2 linked regions of the Danio rerio genome follow. The protein of the gene in region 2 interacts with the protein of the main gene of each other region in a pairwise test. Links are inferred from orthologs where the notes say so. Each region holds a gene or a part of one and is shown on either strand. Other genes may lie near its edges.

What was found.
Region 1: the proteins of pias2 (region 2) and tsr2 interact in binary tests that used the Homo sapiens proteins (3 or more experiments, as listed by UniProt). The two-hybrid records come from large-scale screens. The link is inferred for Danio rerio from reciprocal best matches to the Homo sapiens genes PIAS2 and TSR2.

The regions. Positions count from the first base shown.
Region 1 is NC_133183.1:9,897,617-9,902,184, reverse strand, and holds the start of tsr2 (pre-rRNA-processing protein TSR2 homolog), read left to right. Parts: upstream 1-1,473; 5' UTR 1,474-1,486; coding exon 1,487-1,567; intron 1,568-2,180; coding exon 2,181-2,271; intron 2,272-2,599; coding exon 2,600-2,691; intron 2,692-4,521; coding exon 4,522-4,568. UniProt on the Homo sapiens protein: May be involved in 20S pre-rRNA processing.
Region 2 is NC_133180.1:42,375,691-42,379,207, reverse strand, and holds the end of pias2 (E3 SUMO-protein ligase PIAS2), read right to left. Parts: intron 3,494-3,517; coding exon 3,319-3,493; intron 1,840-3,318; coding exon 1,700-1,839; intron 1,603-1,699; coding exon 1,565-1,602; intron 1,480-1,564; coding exon 1,291-1,479; 3' UTR 570-1,290; downstream 1-569. UniProt on the Homo sapiens protein: Functions as an E3-type small ubiquitin-like modifier (SUMO) ligase, stabilizing the interaction between UBE2I and the substrate, and as a SUMO-tethering factor.

The sequences.
Region 1 (4,568 bases), on a different chromosome or scaffold from region 2:
GGCCGGTGTCCTGCAGATTTTAGCTCCAACTCTAATCAAGCACACCTGAACAAGCTAATCGAGCTCTTACTACGTATGCTCGAAACATCCAGGCAGGTGTGTTGAGGCAAGTTGGAGCTAAACTCTGGAGGGACACTGGCCATCCAAGACCAGTGTAGCAGTCGATTCTGGTTCCCCCTCTACAAAGCAAGTCCGCTAACAGAGTCTGCAGACACAACCCCAACACAACTAGGTGTACGGAAAGCCAAAATGGACATTGCTTTCATGTCTTGCAATGCCAAAGTAGCTTAATAAAATGAATCTAACTCTCCCATGAAGTATTTTTTTTTGGTTCTTGTTAGTATTATTAACTTTTTTTTTAAATGTTTGAGTTTATGCACCCTAGTTCAATATTGCGTGAAGGCCTACAGTTATATTAGTCCTTTTCATTTTCAAGTTCAGAAAAAATATGTACTTTTAGAACCACTAGTCTGCTTTCTGTACACCCAGTTGTGTTTAGGTGTCTGCAAAAGCTGTACGAACACCCTTTGTAGAGGGGGAACTGGAAATCCAGAAGGGAACAGAATCGACTGCTACACCGGGAGTGGTGACCCCTGCCTTAAAACCTTTATAAAACCTTAGCTTTATAAAACTTAAAAAACAAACGCCTAACTTTTAAACAACACATTTATCATTAAAAAACCAAAATCTTTTAAAGTAATTGTACAATATTTGATACATATACTAACATTATTTCTGAAAGGATCTAGCCAAATATATTTTTGTATGTAATTTTTATATTTTTAATATATTTTTAAAATGACTAAACTTATTATTTTTAAGAAAACAGATCCAACAGAAGTCTTGAATTTAGTTTTAATCTCTATTTTATTGGCAAAATTGTACATACACAAACAGGAATTGGCTAAATCATCTCCCACATTAACAGTTTTCTGTATCTAGTTTGACTTTATTTCTGTGAAATGATTGAAAAGCAAAAAAATCTGAGATATGTATTAACTATTATAACACTTGTTTGATTCCCCTGTCAGTTTTTAAAATCATTGGATGTAGAATTTCTGTACACTATGCTTTGTGTATTCATTTTAATTAGTTATTTTTATTCATTATTATATATTTATCTATAAATATTTTTTTACGATTATTAAATTAGTTTTTTTGTTTCATCTTTTATATTGTGTTGTATGTTTGTTCCTGATAGTTATGCAATACCAAAATAGGCTAAAACACCTCAATGAAAATAGCAAAATAATAAAACAACAGCACTAAACCAATGCTGTCCTATAATGTATTTAGAGTCACAATGCTGAGTTTATAATCTTACATAATAACCACTTTATAATATTGAAAAATATGTGCAATTTTGAAAAGAAAAATGTAAATGCGGATGAAAAGAAGGTGCTTTGGCGGTTTCTGTGATCGATTCTTTTGCCTAGGGAATCTCTTGAAATCTGCGATCGACCCTTCGGGTATGCTGGTTTTCAAGATGGCGCCGCTCTCATCGTCCACACGTGAGGTGTTCAGTGAAGCAGTTCGGGCTGTTTTGGAAACTTGGCCGGTGCTGCAAGTTAGTAAACTAATAGCATTTGTGATCGGAAATACATATCATATGATACCATGTCTGCAAAATCTATTACGTAAGCTTCAGTCTGATATGAATCGGCAAGCAGACTGATATCAGGATGCGCTTCACAGTGTAAACATGTCTGTGTCGCGATATTTCTTTCAGCTGCTCGTGTATATATACATATACATACATATATATATATATATATATATATATATATATATATATATATATATATATATATATATATATACATATATATATATATATATATACATATATATGTGTATATATATATATATATGTATATATATATATATATGTGTATATATATATATATATACATATATATACATATATATATATACACATATATATATATATATATATATATATATACACATATATATATATATATATATATACATACATATATATATATATACATATATATATATACATATATGTATATATATATATATATATATATATATATATACATACATATATATATATATATATATATATATATATATATATATATATATATATATATATATATATATATACATACATATATACACACACAGTAAATAATGTGTTTTGTTATTAGATAGCGGTGGACAACGGCTTCGGTGGAGCGTTCAGTCAGCAGAAGGCGGAGTGGATGGTGGACGCGCTGCAGCAATACTTCACCGACAACGGTCAGAGCGCTGCACTCAACACCTTAGCAACCGCCAAGAAACCCACGACTGAACATTCTGTCATAATTTTCTCACCCTTCACTTGTTCCAAACCAGTTTGATTTTTTTATTGCGTTAAACACAAAATAAGTTATTTTGAAGAATGTTTGAAACCAGTAACCACTGACTATCCCAGTGTTTTTTCGTACTCTGGGTGTCAATGGTTTTCAGGACTCTTCAAAATATCTTTTGAAGCCACTCGAGTGTGAGCTGGTGAGGGTGTGTAAATTGTTCTATTTTAGTGAATTGTCTCTTTAAGAGCTGACAGATGGTCTGTTTGTGTCCACAGGTGATCTCCAGCAGGATGAGGTGGAGGACTTTATCTCTGAGCTCATGAACAATGAGTTCAACACAGTGGTGGATGATGGCAGTCTGCCTCAGGTCTGTTGTCTTTTGGTCTTGACATGAGAGATCTGAATGAAAGCTAGCTGGAGGTGTGTGTGTGTGTGTGTGTGTGTGTGTGTGTGTGTGTGTGTGTGTGTGTGTGTGTGTGTGTGTGTGTGTGTGTGTGTGTGTGTGTGTGTGTGTGTGTGTGTGTGTGTGTGTGTGTGTGTGTGTGTGTGTGTGTGTGTGTGAGAGATTATTATCATCTACCTTCCTTTCTATATTTTATCTATTTATATCATACTATCTGTTGTTCTATCTATACATCTATCCATTGTTCTATATATCTTTTTTATTCTATCTATTATTCTATCCATTGTTTGATTAATTTATTGTTTTGATCCATCTAACATTCTGTCTATTATTCTGTCTATATATCCATGTCATTCTATCTGTTGTTCTATCCATATATCTGTCATTCTGTCTATTGTTCTATCAATCTTACATAGACATAGCTATGTCTCTATCTCTATCCATCCATCCATCTATCCATCGTTTTATTGATCTATCGATCTTTCATTCTGTCTATCATTTTATCTGTTGTTCTATATATTTATTATTCTATCTGTCGATCATTCTATTATTGTTCTATCTTATCGTTCTATCCTCATTTTTCATTCTGTCTATCGTTCTATTGTTTTCTCTGCAGAGCTATGTCGTTCCATCTGTATATCTATCATTCTAGCTATCGTTTTATCTATTGCTCTGTTGTTTTAGTCTATCGTTCTATCCTTTGATAGATCTATAACGTTATATCTATAAGTCTATTCATATGTCTATGTTATTCTATATATCATTCTCTGTATCTATTGTTTTATCGATCTATCATTCTATTTATACATCTACAGTTGAAGTCAGAATTATCAGCCCCCTTCAATTTTTTTTCTTCTTTTTTTAAAATAATTTTCAAATGATGTTTAACAGAGCAAGGACATTTTCACAGTATGTCTGATAATATTTTTTCTTCTGGAGAAAGTCTCATTTGTTTTATTTCGGCTAAAATAAAAGCTGTTTTTAATTTATTAAACACCATTTTAGGGGTAATATTATTAGCCCCTTTAAGCTAGACTTTTTCTCGATTGCCTACAGAACAAACCACCGTTATACAATAACTTGCCTAATTACCCTAACCTGCCTAGTTAACCTAATTAACCTAGTTAAGCCTTTAAAAGTCACTTTAAGCTGTATGAAAGTGTCTTGAAAAAGATCTAGTCAAATATTATTTACTGTCATCTTGGCAAAGATAAAATAAATACATTATTACAAATGTGTTATTAAATTATTATGTTTAGAAATGTTGAAAAAATCTCTCCGTTAAACAGAATTTGGGGAAAACATAAACAAGCGGTTTAATAAGTCAGGGGGGCTAATAATTCTGAGTTCAACTGTATATCATTCTATCTATATATCAATTGTTCTATAAATCTATCATTCTATCGGTCCATCTATATATTGTTCTATTTATGTATATAAATATTCCATCTATCTCATTCTATATCATTCTATCTATATCATTTTATTTCTGTATCAGTCTATCAGTCTTATTCTATCAGTCTTGCTCTATTGGTCTCGTTCTATCAGTCTTGCTCTATCTAGCGTGTTCTATTTAGCTCGTTCTATCTATAATTCTATCTGTTGTTCTATCCCGTTAAAGACACAATTATAAACGCTCCTGTGAAAGGACTTAATTATTTCGCAAGTGATCATGTTCATGTTTTGTATGCATTTTTGTTTTGTTGATTTGATCACTTCGTGTCCTCATTTTTATTTGTCTCTGAATAGAAACTCATGGATGATTAAATGTGTGTGTTTCTTTGTGTGTGTCAGGTGGCGCAGCAGGTGTGTGGGATGTTCCAGCAGTGTGAGCAGGGCAG
Region 2 (3,517 bases):
CACATAAATAAATCAGCAGCAAACAGAATCTGAGCACGTTAAACATGAGTGGATGTGTCCATAAAGTAAAGCCAATACAACACTGCTATCTGGACTTAATAAGTCAACTTTAAAATATATTTTTCCAGATGAACATGAAATAGCGCTCTTATCACTGTGTATTGGTTTACATGTTTTAGGATGTATATGTATCATCTCGAACTCTGGCAAAGAACCCAAGAGTCTAAACAGTTCTGCCTGTGCCATCTTTAGTGGAGAGCTACACGCATAAATAAAACTTCAGCCCTGACCGGAAAGGACAATAAAACACTGTATCAACATTTACAGCACATTATTAGTTGTTGTTGTTTTTTTACATCCATCATATGATCATCTTTATTATATGACAAGGAGGAACTAAAAGAAATAAACAACTCCTCACATGCCTTCAGCTCGCTGTACAGCTCACAATTCAATAAGATCAACTCATGTCTATTAGGTAAATTGCCATAAGCAATAAAGTCTGATATTGAAGACAAAACATACGCTTGCATTGTGCGATTCATTTCCTATATCAAAACATTGAAGGATTTTGTTGCTTCATTTTTATTACACATGTAGCTGCAGGTTTCCCATCCAAAATCCATAAATCCAAAATCCCATCCAAAATCCCATCCAAAATCCATAAAATTAGACAAACGTCAGTTACAAATGACAGTTTCTAATGGGAATATGTTAGATGTGTCGAGATATCAAAAACAACTTCCTTATAAAATTAGATTCCAAATCTGATGGCTCCGTAAAGAATAACCACAAACAAATGAAAAACTTTAAAAAGCCTTAATATCAGACAAGTGAACCTCGTAATATACAACAAACATTTTTTATTGCTTTTTATTGTAACAAAAATAATTGCACTGCTGAAATAGACGAAACCTAAAATGAGCTGCCGCTGAAAACCTCATTCCATTTCAACTGCAGATCCGTTGACGCAACACAAGAGTGACTGAGACTAGAGTGCTGTTTTTTTTATGTGTCTGAGCTTTCCAGTCCACTTAGTTATGCCATTTATTTTGCTTTGCGAAGAGTCATTGTTTAACTCATAGATTCCCCAATTCAGGAGACAACCGCTTGATTCAGATTTGAAATTTAAAACAGCATTGTTGCTGACCAAGATACATCATTCAGAGACCTTCATGGCAGTCCTCGTAAAACAAGATTCTTGAGGTCCATATTCAAAAGGTAGAATTGTTCTTTGCTTGCCTCGAATGCAGTTTGTTTTGTGACTGGCTGATCACGCTGCGCTAACATTCAGTCCAGGGAGATAATGTCTGATAGACCTGAAGATCCTCCAGTGATGACTCCTGTCTCATGACTCGAGCTGCTGCTGTGGGTTGCTGTCTCGTACTGAGCCGATGAGGAAACCAGACTGGCGCTGGTGGTGGCACTCTGAAGGCTGCTGGAGAGGCTGTCTAAAAATATGGGCCCTCTGAAATGCTGCTGAAGAGACCATAAAGAAAACAAGTGGTTAACAGCTGTGAAATCATACCGCATGCAATCCCAGCATTGCTTTTAAAGAACATACCTGAGGATCCCCTTGAATCAGAGAAAATAAGTCAAGACCTTTGGGAAAGATGTGTACAGTAGGACAAAAGTTAGTATTCATGTTAAAGCTAAAGCCTGATTAAAAGCATTCTTGGCAGACTGGACAAGTGCGTACTTTGCATATCTGTGGGAATAGTGGACAAGGAGGAATGGTGGAATGGAACAGAGTAGTCCGCTATTGAGGAGGTCAGGTATGAGGTGTCCAGCGACTGGACATTTGGCACCCGAACAGTTGATGGCTGGTAAGTCAAAACGCTAAAATATAAGGAATCAAAACATTACAACTGTTAAACAGGAAAAACAGCTAAAGTGCTAAAAATACTGCTGATGGGATTTAGAATAAAAAGATGAAAATGTGTGCACTTAAATGCAATTGTAGGGGCTTCCCTTTCAAATGCAAATTTATGGAAAGCCAGCATTTACATCAATTGAGCAACTAAGTTTACCAAGGTTTGCTGTAGTAAATTAACTGGTAATTGCTCTAATATTTTACGTCCAAATGAAAGATACAATTTGCATCCGTGACGTAAGTGGACTACCCACAGCTGATTATCATTGGCTTTGTTTGGCAGGCTAATTTGCTGTGCTGGTCATTATGAAAATGAGCTGCAGCATCTGCCCTTTGAAACATTTTGGCTCTTAGAGTGCAACAGAACATAATACACTTTCATTTTTAAAGATTTGATATATTCACAGTCAGCGTTGGGGAAAGCTTCTTTAGAAAGTAATGCAATACAATATTGATTTACTCAACAACAAAGTATCTAGTTGTGTTACTCAGCTACTTTTTATGGTAATAATGCGTTACGTTACTTTTGAGTTACTTTTTTCTAACTTGGATGAGGCTTGATATGTTTCAGAACTTGCAGGGTTTTTTTTAATGGAGGAGCTCTGCAATGAACAACACTCTGTATATCCTTCATTTACCTTTATAAAACACATTAAAAAACTCCCTGACCGAGAGCTCTAGATGCTGTATTTAGATTAATGAAAACCTAAAGCAATGTGTTTTCTACTTTTGTACTTTTTGTCTTCTTACTTAAGAATACTTCCATCGCAAAATATAAGGCTTTGCCATCTTCATTTCTGCCTGTTCTCTCATTGAGAACAGGATTCAATGTGACTACGTTCATTTTATTTCAGCTATTTATTTTTTTTAAAGCAAATTAATTAAACTAAAAATTAACTTGCATTACTATTTTCAAAAAGTAACTCAAATATTATTACTGATTTTTAAAAGTAATGCGTGACTTTACACGTCACTTAGAAAGATTATTATGTAACTCACATTACTTGTAATGAGTTACCCCCAACACTGTTCAAGCTACTTGCAATGGTTTATAAATAGCATTTATTTAATTTATTTGCTAGTATTTCAAGTTTTCCCACCACCACAATGAATAATTTGCATTTAGTGTACAGTTCTGGGCTTCTTTAAAATGTATACACAAAACTCCAACACTTAAAGGGATAGTTCACCCAAAACTGAAGATTCTGTAATCCTTCACTCAACCCTTCACTTTGTCACAAACCTGTTAAGAGTTTCATTCTTCTGTTAAACACAAAATATTTTTAAAAAATCTTAAAAACAGGTAATCCATTGACTCCATAGTATTTAGTGAACCATACTTTCATTTTAGGGTGAAATACCCACTTAAGATGGTGGAAAAAGACACATTCGATCAGATTTGTCTGATCATTTGATTTGATTTTAGTAAATCAACACAAACAAACCCTTTGCTGTGCATCTCCTCAGCCTTTGACATGTATATACAGCGCTTCTTCAGAGGAGGATCATCCTCTTCATCATCAGACGAGCTCTCTAGTGTGAGATCGATTACATCTGCTTTTTTTGTACTGCTGGTTTCTGGGACTGACACCACTGCACTTTGTCGGACTGGAACAGAACCTAAAAAGCCATGAACCACTTTTA